2 linked regions of the Caenorhabditis elegans genome follow. The protein of the gene in region 2 interacts with the protein of the main gene of each other region in a pairwise test. Each region holds a gene or a part of one and is shown on either strand. Other genes may lie near its edges.

Region 1 (6,729 bases), on a different chromosome or scaffold from region 2:
TTATCTGTTTTAAAGTTTGATATCAATATAAGTTTTATAAGACTTACAATTTAAAAAAACAATGTCTTTTTTCCATAAAAAACAAATTATTTTTGTGATAATCTGGAAAATGTATACAAATTTCCGGTGGAACTTTCTTTTTATTAAACCTTTTTTTGAGATAGAAATACGGAAACTTACTCGTTCTTGTTGTCGAAGATTAAGAAATCGAGGCCTATAACCCATTTCCAAGAATTCTTTCAAAGTATCCGTTCCACCAACAAGTGCAACTTCCATCATTGCATCATGATAATGATTATTGATAAGATAAACATCTGGCTTCTTGGGTCCTTCCGTCATTAAAATCTCTCGTACAACATCTCTTCCATCTGTTGATGCTGCATAAATAAGTGCCGTATTACAGTTTGGAATCGACGCAACATTCGGATCGGCGCCCAATTCAAGAAGTCGTCGAACAATAGTTTCACTGGAACTTGCAGCCGCTTCCATTAGAGGAGTGATTTTTGATAGTTTATCACCACGAAACTGCATAACTCCAATTTCGTGAGAATACTCAACAAATTGTTCAATCTGAAGGAATAATTATAGTTTGAAATTTCATGAAAAACGTTTCTAAATGACTTACACCAACTCGAGCTGCAAGAAGAAGCATTGCATTTTGCTGAACAATTTGACTATCAATGGAAGGAAGTTGACGAAAATTGATTATCGAATCTTTTTTCTCGTTATTCGAAGGTGTGGAATCGAATACTGAAATTTAATATTATTTCTGTTTATTTTCTTTATTTTTTTTTCCAGAAATTTATCACCGTCCATGTTATCGTCCATTTCAGTCAGTCACATCATAAAGCTAAAACAAACAGTTTTTAAGCATATTTTCTTATTCTGTACTAACACTCAATGTCTATTATAAAATGTTGTTAATGTTGTTTTACTTTTATTTTGTGGATAAGTTCAAAGCGTTACGAGATCCTAAGGCATTTTGAAATCAAAAAATGTTTGAGCATAAAAGCTTGATTTTGTAATATTTGTACGATTTTTGTAATATAGTATGAAATAACGGGCTGTTTTTTTAATCAAAACTTACCACCATTCTCGTCGCTGAGTTGGGTTTCATCGTTGTCTTCAAGCGAATCTTCGTCAAAAACATAAATATCACGAATCGCTGCTTTCATTAATTCTTCGGCGAATGTAGTGGCAAGAAAGCTGAAAAATAATTCTATAATGTTTTTTTTATTTTTTCAGGTTCCTTTTTTCCGTCAATCAATTTATAATTTTCAAAATGTCTAGAAAATTGAGCATGAAATGCGATTTTGTATTCAAAAATAATAACAAAAATTTCATTTTCATAACTTTCGACTGCAACTTTCGACTTTTTCGGAAACTTTGCAAAAAATAACCTATTCCGCAATGTCATTCCAACGTGTTTCATAGAAAATGGAAAAAAATGGCGCTCCTGATTTTCAATTTTTCGGTATATAATTTTTGATATGTACTTTGTATAAGTGCTAATTTATTTAAGGTGAATACTCGAAAAATTCCAATTACTTATTCAATCAAAAATTTCAATTTGAAAACTCACGAGTAAGCCATCGAGGAAACCGAGGTAAGTGCATCGACAGCATTTTTGATTGGAACCTTTTTGGGATCCAAAGGGTTGTACGGTCCAAATCTTTCAGGTTTTTCACTTTTATGATCTTCAAGAAGGTCGGATATTTTAAAAAGGATTTGACAATCATCCATTTGTCGACTCTGAAATTAATAAAAATCGAGACTTTAAACTAATTGAAATATTTACCTCAATTATATCGAGAAGGTTGGAGACCGGGGGAAATCGACACTTGTCCGATGAGAGGAAATGCTCAAAATTGAGAATTTTGAGAACAGTTGAGATGGCTTTTGTCGGAAAATGCTCACAGTCATCGTCTTCGATTTCGATGGCAATTGTGTGAAGGCAATCGTAAAGCTAAAATATAAATTTATTGAAATTTTTTTAGTCGAACAAAAATAGCTCACCCTAGCACCAAAGTGGTAAAAAGATGAAAAAACTCGTTGTCGTTTTTCTTCGTCTGCTCCATCCATATCCATTTCTAATGGAATGAGGTGATTGAACATATTAAGGTGAGCCATTCCACCTTTGGCTAAACTAACACGGTGGTCTCGTCGCTTCTGAAATTTTTAAAATAATTGATATTGGAAAATTCTGAATTTTTAAGCAAAAAGGAAAATACAAAGAAAAATGATTGTTTTAACTGAAACAATAATCTTAATGGTAACTTTTCAAAACAAAAATTTTCTTCCGGAAACCTATGTGGCAGGTGAAGAGGATAACCCATAATTTCAAAATGTTGGAAAACAATTTATTGTGTTTCTTCCATGAAAGTAAGACACAGGCGATGTTCGGAGAAGTTGTAGGCGCGTGACAGACATAATACACGTCTTCTTCCATCTGCCCTTTTCGTTTCACTATCGGAACAACGGCATGGCAACGGGCATGAGGAGGAAAGGAATTAGGGAGGATGTGAGAAGATGAATCGATGGATGATAGTGATAAAGAAGGAACATATTGATTATTGTTCGCAATAACATTCTAGAAAATTTAGAAAATCCTAAAATTAGCATTCAAAAAAATAAATGACTTCGTAGATCCGAAACGCATGTTACTTTTTGAATTAAACATAATGATTTCTTAACAATCGATATAAACAATTTTCTCAAATATATTAAAACTAACTTTATCAAAACTAGAAAAAAATTATGGAGGATAATCCGAATACTCGCGCATAACGCATCCTCCTTTTCCCTAACGAAATCCAGTTACGAGCAATAGAAATGTAAACGAAGTAATATGAAAAATGATTTTGCAAACTTCAAAAATTAAATGAAACTGAAAAATTCAATATTCCTCCCAAAACCATGCAAGAATTGAGTCTTGGAAAGCTGGTTGGCAAATTCGAAAGAAAATAATGGGTTCGTAAAAGCGTCAGCACGAGAATTGCGCCAGCAACTTGTGCTGACGCATTTGCTGTGCGTGCTCCCAAAAAATAAAAAAAAGGTTTTTATGTTTTGTGAATAAAAAAAAGTTCTGTACAGAATTCTGTTTAAATGTTTGTAAAAAACAGAAATCGACAATTCGTGATAAAGAAGAATAGTTTTAAAAATTGTGTTATTTTAATATTAAATTTAATGTCACGTTTCCAATTATTTGGATTTAAGAAAACGTTTTATAAAACCTGAAAATCAAAAAAAAATCATTTCCCAATTGAGTTTTCATACAAACCGATCGAATTATGAAGAAAAATGAAAGCGGCAGCGTAAGACAACTGAAACGATTCAAAATAAACATAAATGAATTAAGTTGGCTCTTGATAAAGATTTCAACATTGACAAGCTTTTGCCAAAGGAATTGATCGACCATTTCATGATTCGAAAGCCAATAGGAGTTCGTGTACACAAGCAGGATTGTCGGGTAATTGTCAAATAGTATTTATTCAAATTCTTGAGCTCTTGATCTTGATTTTGGGACACCATACATAATTCATATTCAGATCACACATGTCCTTCCTGAATCACATCTTATTGGAAAAGCATTTCTAGGTGATTGTATCACTGCAATCGATGAAAAAGTTATCCACACTAGTGACGAGTTGCACCAAAAGTTGAAAGAGAAAACTGAGGTGTTAATATTTCTGAATCGAGTGTTTGCAAACGAAAATTTCAGAATATTCATCTACAACTGAAACGTAACATGTTTTCCTGGTGTTTTCATATTCGAACAACTGTTGAGAAAATCCAAATTGACAGAGATTTAGAGAGAATCACTCCAAATCCTGTTAACCATTACTTTGTGAGACAGCTTTTTAAAAATTAAAAAAAAAACTTTCTTATTTTAGGTTCTCATAAAAGTTCGTCCAACTCCTGAAATGCAATTCATTGACTTGGGATTATTTGTCAAATATAACAATAGAGATCGTTTGGAGGTAATTTAAACTTACAGTAACCACCGCATTTCATTTTCAGGTTGATTATGTTACTCCAAACAGCTTAGCATCCATCCATCTGAAATCTGGAGATGTCATTCGGGAGTGTAATTCTCAGGCAATTTGCTCGAAGAGCATGCTCCGTTATTGTATTGCGAGCAGCATCGCTTCTTCTGGACACTTTACGCTTCTTATTGAAGCACCAATTCGAGATATTCTCAGAGATCACATTGATTTGGCAGATGATGTTGTGGCAATTGCTGATAAGGCGGTAGAGGAGTTCAGAAAATTGGGGAAAGGATATCTACCACAACAACCGAAGAAAGGAGATAAGAAGAAAAACATCAAATTGAAAGAGGGACGTACAGAACATCAGATCGTTAGTGACATTGATCCTGCTAAACTGAGAGCGTGTAAAAATGCTAGCTGAATTTCTCTGATAATAAAGTTTCTACATTAAAATCCTTAAACATTCATAATTAAATATTATACGTTAACAGCAAACAAAATAGTGTAAGAAACAAATATGAGAAAAACTGCGGTTCAAATGGGTTCAAATAAAGCCAGGAACTAAAATGCGAACCGGATATGGATAATTTAAAGATGTAATAGCAATTTATCGTACGAGTTGAAGAGTCTGACCAACAAGAGACGTCACGTCAACTGTTGGATGGACCGCCGATCCATCGACATTCTTCAAGGCAATCTTACCGTTCCAGAGATCAAGAGCAGAGCGAACCTGAAACAAAAACAGATTTAACATTTTAAATTTCTAGGAAAACCCGATAAACATACGTGATATAGAAGATCAGCATATCCCTTCAGGTGTTCTTTTTCTGTTTTCACATGAACTCGAACTTTCTTTGATCCATCAACAACAGTGATCCCATCGAAACTGTCACCTTCGGCGAACAACCAAAGCTGAAAATAATTGTTCAGGAATATTAGAGAACATCAACAAAAACGGAATTTACCTCAACTTCTGAATCCTTAATTGCACTCTTGCTGGTGGCAGTTGGAGCCTTTGCAGCGGCTGGTGGTGATCCCAACTTGATAGGTGTTCCAGTAGCGGATACAATGTCATTCAATTTGGCAGCAACAACCTTTGCGAGTTGAGAATCAGCTGGACTAACAACAATATGAACATGAGCAGTATCAGTAGATACAAGTTTAGCCTGTTTGCGAAGACGTTGAACACGATTTGTCACTTCTCTGCAGAGTCCTTCTTCAATAAGAGACTCATCTTCAGTTGTATCAATCATTACAATGGTCTTTGCATCCGAGTGAGTTTTGTATCCATGTCCTTGATCACTTCCAGCCGCGTAGCTAACAGCAACTTCTTCCGAGGAGAGCTCATGCCCAAGCACAGTCAATTTTCCTTCAAGAAGGAATTTCTCCAACTCAGATTCAGTGATTTGGTTCTTCAAGTAGTCAGCAACCTTCTTTTGTTCTCCCTTGAGACGAGCACCCAGAATTTTGAAGTTTGGCTCTGCCTGTAATTTTAAGTATTATATTTTGAACAAACTTTTTGAAATTTTAATACCTTTAGGGTGATTCCGTATTTCTGTTTATCTTGTGAAACGGTCAATTTTCTGACGTTCAACTCAAGAAGAATATATGATTCCAAACTTTTTACGTCTTCCAAAAACTGACTGTCTCTGTTAATAACAATCATTTCCTTCAATGGATATTTCACAGCAAGTCCTTCACGATCGCGAACAAGACGAACCAAGTCGATAACATTTCTCATAACTTCAACTCGTCTTTCCACAGTCTCGTCGATTAGACTCTCATCCGGTTTTGGGAGCATCAGGAAGTGAACTGATTCCTCAGTCGAACCAATGACTTTCTTCAAATTTAGCCAGATATACTCGCAGAAGAATGGTGTGAAAGGAGCCATCAATCTAACAATCAAAATGAGAACTCGTCCGAGGGCTGCCAAAGCGTGATGTTGCTCATGAAGTCCGTTGTCTCCCTTGACTCTCTTTCTATTTAATCTGATGTAGATATTTGTAAGAGTGTCAAAGAATTTTGTAAGCGGTCCAACAACAGCATAAAGCCGATAACTATCCATTTCTTTCCGAACAAACGCAACAAGACTGTTTGTAAAGGATTCAATCCACCGATCCATGACATTTTCACTGGCAACATGAACGTTCATGTCAAACACATTTCCAGTTTCCTAAAAACGATAATATTTCAATCTCATAATTGTTTCAACATGAATAAACTTACATGTTCATATGCTTGTACGTTTTGTACAAAGAATCTGTAGGCATTAAACCATGGAAGGAACACATCCTTGAGAAGATCTCTTACGCCTTCTTCTCTGAATCTCAAATTTTCTCCTCTAACCACAGGAGAGTTGATGAGATAAAGACGCAAAGCATCGGCTCCGTACTTGTTAACAATGAGCATTGGATCGGGATAGTTCTTCTTACTCTTTGACATTTTTGCTCCATCCGACGCCAATACGAGTCCGTTACAGATCAGGTTCTGGAAAACATTTTTGATTTAAATTAAAATATTGAAATTGTACGAACCTTGAATGGTGGCTTGTTGAACAAAGCAGTTGACAGAACTAGAAGTGTGTAAAACCACCCACGGGTTTGGTCAATTCCTTCAGCGATGAAATCAGCTGGGAAATTGTCTTCGAAGATTTTGCGGTTCTCAAATGGATAATGATTCTGGGCATATGGCATGGATCCTGATTCAAACCAACAATCAAAAACTTCGGAAACCCTCTTGA
Region 2 (7,617 bases):
TTCCTCGAAATGTGTGCCATCTCCAGATGCACCAGTGGGCTTGGAAAACCTGCCGAATAGAGCCTATTCGCATATTTTCACAATTCTTGACAGTTAGTTGTGAAGTACTGATCAGAAATTTTAACATTCACATTTTTCAGTGCAATCCATTAATGCGCTTTCACTGACATCCACAAAGTTGTGCTCACGAGTCAAAACCTACGTTTCAACCCACGATTTTTTCCGTCGAATGCAATTGGATAATCTTGACTTTCTCAATAGCTCACTCCGCCCCGACGATGAAGAATTCTTAGAGAATGATCCTTTCACTGCATGTGGTTAGTGTTGCAATATTTTTATTTTCGTTTATAAATCTAAATGTATTTTAACAGGTGGCCTCATCAAATCCATCACGATCACAATGAACACAAAGATCCGCGCTCAAGTCTTCCTGAACATCTGCCGGAATTTGCGTGATCAACTCGGAGGCTCCCTTCATGGTTTTGGAAGACTCCTGGAAACGATAACGCACAATTGGAAGTTCTCTGAACGTCGTATAATGGTAAAAGCTGCAATCATGATCGACGCTGATCTCCGTCCTTCGATTATCAAGGTTCTTACTGCTAAACCGGGCCAGTTGATAGGTCTCGAGATGAAAGTTCGTTCCGGGTTGACCCAACTCTTCCTCAACTTGAGTCAAGACATCGATGAAGCTTCTCCACAGGAGATTATCGAGTTTGGCTCCTGGTTGTCTGTTCTGATCCGAAACGTAATTGAAAAATATCAGGGAAAGTTCTATTACATCCTATTCGGACCAACAAGATCTTCAAGAATTGGCGAACGCGTCGACTGGGCGTATTTCTGTGAGGACGATTCAGATACCTTCACTTTGCGGAAGAGTGAGCCAAACTATAGGAAATTGCTGTCAACGTTGCTCAATGGAATCCGCGCTCTTCGCATCATGAATAATTCCAAGAGTTCGGACCAAATGTGGAGCGGGAAGAAACTTTATCAGCTTTTCCTCCGGATCATTGGTAATATTTTTTTTTTTAATATTTTTAATTTTTAATAGCTTTTTAATTTTCAGAAGTTTGCGAAGTACAAGGCTTTTGGTCTGAGACCTCATCTTCTATGGCGCTGGCCATTGATTCTTCAGGATTGCTCAGCGAATATCTTGTCACCTGTCTCGATCCTCGCCGCGACGACTATGAAACTCTCCAGAATGAAGCCGCGGAGATGGTGTGTCTCGTACGCAACCATCTTTATCGTTGGTCGGCTGCACCTGCCACGTTTCTCGCCGAACCACTGCACCACGCATTCAATCATCTTGCGCAACTCGATGGTCATTACGGTGAGCGGCGTTCTGTCATCTTTTCGGTGCGAGAAATAACGAATATTATTATTATTACAGACGGTTGCTACAAAGCTTTTCTCGAAAAGATTTGGAACGTTCAAAGTTCACGGTTGAAGGAAATGGTAAAGAACGCGACAAACACAACCGAGTGTTCTGAAAAGATCCGCGAAGAGCTCGACGGTCAGCTCTCAATGGCTCGCCTGTTGACGGATATATCAAACACAGTGGTTCTTCACCAAATAGGCTTCCAGCTTCCAAATGACCTAGCTGCTGAACTCGTCAATGATCCACTAGAAGAAGAGGAGCAGCTGGAATAAATCATGTTTTATCTGTCTAGAAAATTTTGAAAATAGCTTCCAACTGTAGAATTAGTTTTGTTTTTGTTTTCTTTTACTTTTACTTTCACTTTAATTTTAATTTTAATTGTTCAAATTTAAAGCTCCTTTCACTCCTTGTTCCATCTTTCTCATTCTGATAAAATCAGCGAAAACTAATTCACTTTATTGTTTACTACAGGGTTCAGCCCCCTGCCACCATTATTTGCCGGCCACTGGCCTTGAAAAACCTCTTCCATCATCGATTTTCACTCTTAAGAGAGTACTCTTCATTGTTTCGAAAGGTTTTCGTTTAAGCAAAAATGGATCCGGAATTGTTAAGGCAGCGAACTGCTTTCCAGAAGCATGCTGCAACAACGATGGCTGTTCAGAATAAGCCTGTGAGAACTTTAAAAATTAAAAAAATATTGAATTTATCGATTTTTTAAGACAACAGCACCAAATTCACACACAACATACTCTTCAGAAGCAGCAAAAGCGAAAAAGAAGAAAAGCTCTGGACCGGCTCAAAATTTGTCGAAACGTTAGTTGTTAAAATGTAATATTAGTTTCTGAAAACGGAATTTTCAGTCCCAGATTTCAATAATTCCGTGAGCAACGCCAATGCGTTATCAAATGCCACAAATTTCAGTACAATGGCGAAAATTGTGGATTATATGAAGGTATTTATATTTTAAAGCGAAATTTTCGAGTTAAAAACAGTTAATTGCAGAAACGCCACCTAAACAATCAACAATGGCCGTTGACACTTCAAGAAATTCTCGATGAACTTCAAATTTTTGATCTTTCAAAAAGAAGTCTTGCTTTCCTTCAAGAAGCATTACCAAACAATCCTCGACTGATAATGGAATCCGAAAAATTCGCATTTCGACCACCTTACAAAATTAAAGGAAAAACTTCGTTGGTAGCTGTCGCGAGGAAACATTATCAGGACGGAAAAGGTGGAATTCTTGTGTCGGATTTGGCTGAGTGTGTGGCTAATTATGATGCACTACTGCAGGTGGGAATTTGAATAATTTATAACAAAAATAAAGTTTTTATTTTTCAAAAATTTCAGCTAAAAATTAGTAAAATTGATTTTAAAATTATCAGCGGCTTATTTTTCGTAGTAATTAAAATTTGAGTTTGTGATGAATTAGATCTTTTAGAATTTCTGAGTATTCAACAATGTGTTTTTTTTTGATTTTCAAATTGAAATAAATTGAAAATTAAATATATAAATTCACAAAAAAGATAAAATGTGTTGAAAATTTATAAAATAAAATTCAGAAATTACTTTATTTTCAGACTTTTGAACAAATTAACGTTATTTTTCAATTTTTACACGAATAATTTTGATCATTTTCGATCCCATAAGTTAAATATTCCACAAAAAAACATTGAAATCGATAAAAAAAAGGTTTGAAAAAATATATTTAATAAAGTAAAAAAAAATTATTACACTTTTCCAGCATAAAACCTTTTTCCTTAAAAAATTTTCAAAGGAAAAACATTTTTGAAGGCAGAATATTCTCATTATAACTTTTCAAAAACTAGGGTATTTAGGGTTAATTTTGATTAAAAATCAGAATTTTTAAATTTGTCAAACTGAAAAAATCAAAGTATAAAAAAGGAGCAATTTTGTGAAATATTAAATTAAATTTTTCCAGCAAGTATCCTCTGAAGTGATCGTTGTTCCGACACAAGTCAATAAGAAAAAGGATCGAGTCGTCTTCTACAATGACAAAGAATTCACATTCCCAGAGCTCGAAGACGATTTCAAAGCCTTGTGGAGACACGTGTCTGTGGATCATTTGGATGAGAAGAAAATCGAAGAATATCTCCAGAAGAAGGGTCTCGACGCGATGAAGGATCTGACGCCGAAGGTTCGAATGCAGGCTCCACTGAAAAGAAAAGCCGCGAAGAGACGGTTCAATCAAAAAGTACAAAACGAGCATATGGACGGAGTTTTGGAGGATTACGAATGATTTTAATTACACACTTCTGTTAACAGTACATAAAATGAACTATGATCATTTGTATCTCTTCTGTCTCTTTTTCTTATCACTGCCCAGCCGTTTGTTTTCTTATTGTTTTCGGCAAATCGGTCACCTAGCCGAGCTTTGTCTCCTACTATTTCTTTTGAAGTTTCAAGTTATTTTTTGAAAAGTTTCTGAATTCAGATGTTTCTGAAAATCTTGCCACGAATCAGAAGACCAACTAGAAGCTACGCAGCAGTTCTTGCCGCCAGACATGAAGGATTTGCAAAAGTGATGCAGTCGGATTTAATGGCATTTGAGAATTTTCTCGGGCAAGATGCAGTGAAGAAGGACGATATTACAAATCATACTACAGATTGGACAGGCCAATTTAAAGGTATTTGTATTTTAAGATTAGGTTTATTTAATATTAAATAGGTACTTTAAATATTAAATGTTTTAATTTCCAGGTCCTGGCAGTGTCGTCCTCTACCCGAAGAGCACCGAAGAGGTTTCTGCAATATTGGCGTATTGCTCCAAGAACAAATTGGCAGTAGTCCCACAAGGAGGGAATACAGGACTCGTTGGTGGATCAATTCCAGTACATGATGAAGTTGTTATATCAATGAATAAAATCAACAAGCAATTCTCTTTCGACGACACAATGGGAATTCTCAAGTGTGATTCTGGTTTTATTCTGGAAGACTTGGACAACAAACTTGCAAAACTCGGATATATGATGCCTTTTGATCTCGGAGCCAAAGGATCCTGTCAGATTGGAGGAAATATTGCCACGTGTGCAGGAGGGATTCGGTTGATTCGATACGGAAGTCTTCACGCACATCTTCTCGGGCTCACGGTGGTTCTTCCCGATGAACATGGAACTGTTCTACATTTGGGATCAAGCATTCGGAAGGACAACACAACTTTGCACACTCCACACCTATTCTTGGGAAGTGAAGGGCAGTTGGGTGTTATCACAAGCGTCACAATGACTGCGGTTCCTAAACCGAAAAGTGTACAAAGTGCGATGCTTGGTAGGTTGAATATTTATATAATGGGTTCAAATTTTTCAATTTCTAATTTTTTTCAGGCATCGAATCCTTCAAAAAATGCTGCGAAGTACTGAAGCTTGCAAAATCCAGCCTCACTGAAATCCTTTCCTCCTTCGAACTTCTCGACGATGCTACGATGGAATGTTTGAAAACGAATCTAGGATTGCACCCAGTACTGAATGCTCCAACCCCATTCTCGATCCTTGTCGAAACATCAGGATCCAATGAAGATCACGATATGGAGAAAATGAGCGCATTTTTGGATGAATGCCTCTCAAAAAATCTGATTATCGACGGAGTGCTCGCTGGATCTTCTGCAGAAGCTACGAAGATGTGGCAATTGAGAGAAAGTGCACCATTGGCGGTTACCAGAGATGGATATGTCTATAAGCATGATGTTTCTTTACCATTGGAAAATTATTATGAATTGACGAATGTGATGAAGGAACGATGTGGTTCTTTGGCTAAAAGAATTGTCACTTATGGACATTTGGGAGATGGAAACACTCATTTAAATATTACATCTGAAAAACACAATGAAGAACTTGAAAAATTGTAAGTTTCGAGATTTTTCTTTTTTATAAAATTTTAATTCTATTAATAATTTCAAATTCCAGGCTCTATCCCTTCCTCTACGAATGGGTTGTCGATCACGGCGGGTCAATTTCAGCTGAACATGGAATCGGTCAACTGAAGCTACCGTACTCCACATTCGGAAAAGATCCTGAAGAACGACTTTTGACAAAGAAGCTCAAGAACATTTTCGACCCAAATGGGATTCTCAATCCGTACAAAACGATATAATTCTAATTCTAATTATTAATAACGCGTGTAACAATACGTTTAGTAGCACAACTGTATAAACATTTGACCCATATATCGTCGGTTCTATTCTCTTTAATTATTTGAGCACCTGTTGAAGGGGAAAATGAATCCTCCAACCCCCAAAGAGCCGGGTCAATTCATCATTCTCCACTAAAATGACGATCCTAATTGTCGCTCTTTTTGCTTCCATTGTAGTATTATGCCACGGAGGTACTGTAGAAACTTCACATCCAGCTTCGGATAAAATTATTGGAAAATATATAGAATTATCAATGAATCTTACGATTCTTCTCGCAGATACTGCTATAGATGAGGCTAAAATTCATCAGGTTTGTGATTTTTTTTTTGAGAGAATTTTTTTAAACCAATGTTCAATTATTCTAGTTATCCAAAGATATGGTGTCAAATGATTACGACGAGGATAAAGTGCAACGAGTTTTGGACAAATTCATGGAAAGTCTTCCGGCAGATCAGAAAAAAGATTTTGGAAGACTTTATTTTGATAAAGTGTTAGTTTTAAGTTTAAGTTTAAAAACAGCAAAAAAAGAGCAGGAGGCTCCAGACCTAGGTGATTTTTCACCCGGTGATAGCGAGTTGTTAGAAGTATCTATCACTGCAGAGAAAAACCACCAAGGTCTCTGGGACCCACTTAAAAATAACTCACCTTGATATCAAATGCACCTGTACCCGCACCTTAGCTGATGTACACCCGGTGATAGGATTTCTGATATCTTATCATCATGGCATACATCCACTGAGGTGCGGACAGGAGGTTCGGAGACACCAGAGCCAAGCTGATTTACACCCGGTGATAATCTCAATGACGAGCTTATTACCAAGACGAAATCAGCTGGGCTCTCGGTATATCAGGAATTCAATAATCAGTAGCTGAATGGTAGAATGTAGGGGAAAACTCCAGAAATCGGAATGAGTCACAGGTCCTACTCCAGTTTTTCTCCCGGTGATAGAGACTTTTGGATGCGTTATCACCACGGAAAAAACCGGAACAGGACCTGGCTCACAGAGAAACCACGAGGACCACTGCAAGTGTTCACCCGGTGATACAGATTAGAGAATGTAGCACCGCAACGGACACCCACACTGGTCCAAGGGTTTCTAGAATCGATTTTAAGATATTTTATCTTTCCGCGTCGGGGACCCATGCGAATTTTCACCCGGTGATAGACACTTTGGATGGTCTAGCACTGAAGCGAAAATTGGCGCGGTTCCCCGACAGCGGTGGAGCAAGTGGAAAAGATCGAGCCACTGCTAGTTTCCACCCGGTGATAGTTCTAATGGAAAGTACCACTGTGGAAGAAACCAGCAATGGCTCGATCTGATCCGAGAATAATAGTTGGGAATGGAAATTAGGAGAGGGGAAGAAGGGAGAAAGTGATGGGAGAAAAGAGAAAATAAAAAAACAACTGATGACTGAATGGACCATTTCCATTCCTTTTATACTGCTGACTTGGTGCACCATTGGGTCTCCGCCCATTTGGTGTAGCGCGTTTGGTGTAGAGCAACGTGTCCACTCGGCGTCTCTTCATTTCACACACTCTCTCGGCTCGTTGCGGTCAAATGGTGTGCAGTGTGCGCTCGCGCGCGCGCGCTCACAGCAACGAACAGACGGACGCGCTCGATAAATGGTGGGCCCGATGGTCAACCGGGCAGGTCTAGGAATCGTAGAAAAGAAAGGGAAGAAAGAGGGGAGAAGAAGAAGGAGAAGGTCTGGGAAACACAGATTAGAGACTGGAGACAGGGGTGAAGGAAATTGGATGCGACGGGATGAACGCTAGGCGCCGGACGGCGGAGTTTTTCGGATTCTCTCGCTTCTTCTCGATGTCTAGAATAGGCGCATGCGGAAAGTAGAAGGCGGACAATCTGTTCCATTTTTTTGGAAGAGAGATAGATAGAAGGAGAAGCGAATAAGATTGAAGACGTGGACGGATGACCTCCCGTGTCGGGAAAAAAACCAGAAATAAAAAAGATGGAGCCAGCCAGCAGTGTAATCCGTTTCAAACGAGTCCGCTTTCATCGTTCCGCCGAAATGAGATTGCACTTGAGTGAGGAGAGAAGTTAATAAAAATAAGAAAAAAAAATTCGATTTTCAA

The links.
Region 1: the proteins of dhgd-1 (region 2) and mpz-5 interact in a two-hybrid assay, tested with the Caenorhabditis elegans proteins (one large-scale study listed by BioGRID).

The regions. Positions count from the first base shown.
Region 1 is NC_003282.8:10,370,347-10,377,075, reverse strand, and holds mpz-5 (PDZ domain-containing protein), read left to right. Parts: upstream 1-3,253; 5' UTR 3,254-3,290; coding exon 3,291-3,314; intron 3,315-3,358; coding exon 3,359-3,469; intron 3,470-3,548; coding exon 3,549-3,677; intron 3,678-3,721; coding exon 3,722-3,847; intron 3,848-3,893; coding exon 3,894-3,980; intron 3,981-4,020; coding exon 4,021-4,410; 3' UTR 4,411-4,438; downstream 4,439-6,729. Other genes in the region: Ankyrin repeat and KH domain-containing protein mask-1, read right to left, coding at 181-570, 626-750, 1,088-1,206, 1,583-1,752, 1,799-1,966, 2,017-2,130; iars-1 (Isoleucine--tRNA ligase, cytoplasmic), read right to left, coding at 4,597-4,719, 4,776-4,901, 4,955-5,473, 5,524-6,162, 6,216-6,476, 6,524-6,729.
Region 2 is NC_003280.10:11,536,844-11,544,460, reverse strand, and holds dhgd-1 (D-2-hydroxyglutarate dehydrogenase, mitochondrial), read left to right. Parts: upstream 1-3,830; coding exon 3,831-4,023; intron 4,024-4,096; coding exon 4,097-4,663; intron 4,664-4,719; coding exon 4,720-5,236; intron 5,237-5,298; coding exon 5,299-5,485; 3' UTR 5,486-5,557; downstream 5,558-7,617. Other genes in the region: F54D5.9 (F-box domain-containing protein), read left to right, coding at 1-92, 141-317, 372-1,013, 1,067-1,330, 1,391-1,650; gtf-2E2 (Transcription initiation factor IIE subunit beta), read left to right, coding at 1,971-2,048, 2,098-2,191, 2,239-2,330, 2,381-2,668, 3,318-3,635; Y62F5A.9 (uncharacterized protein), read left to right, coding at 5,662-5,835, 5,891-6,015.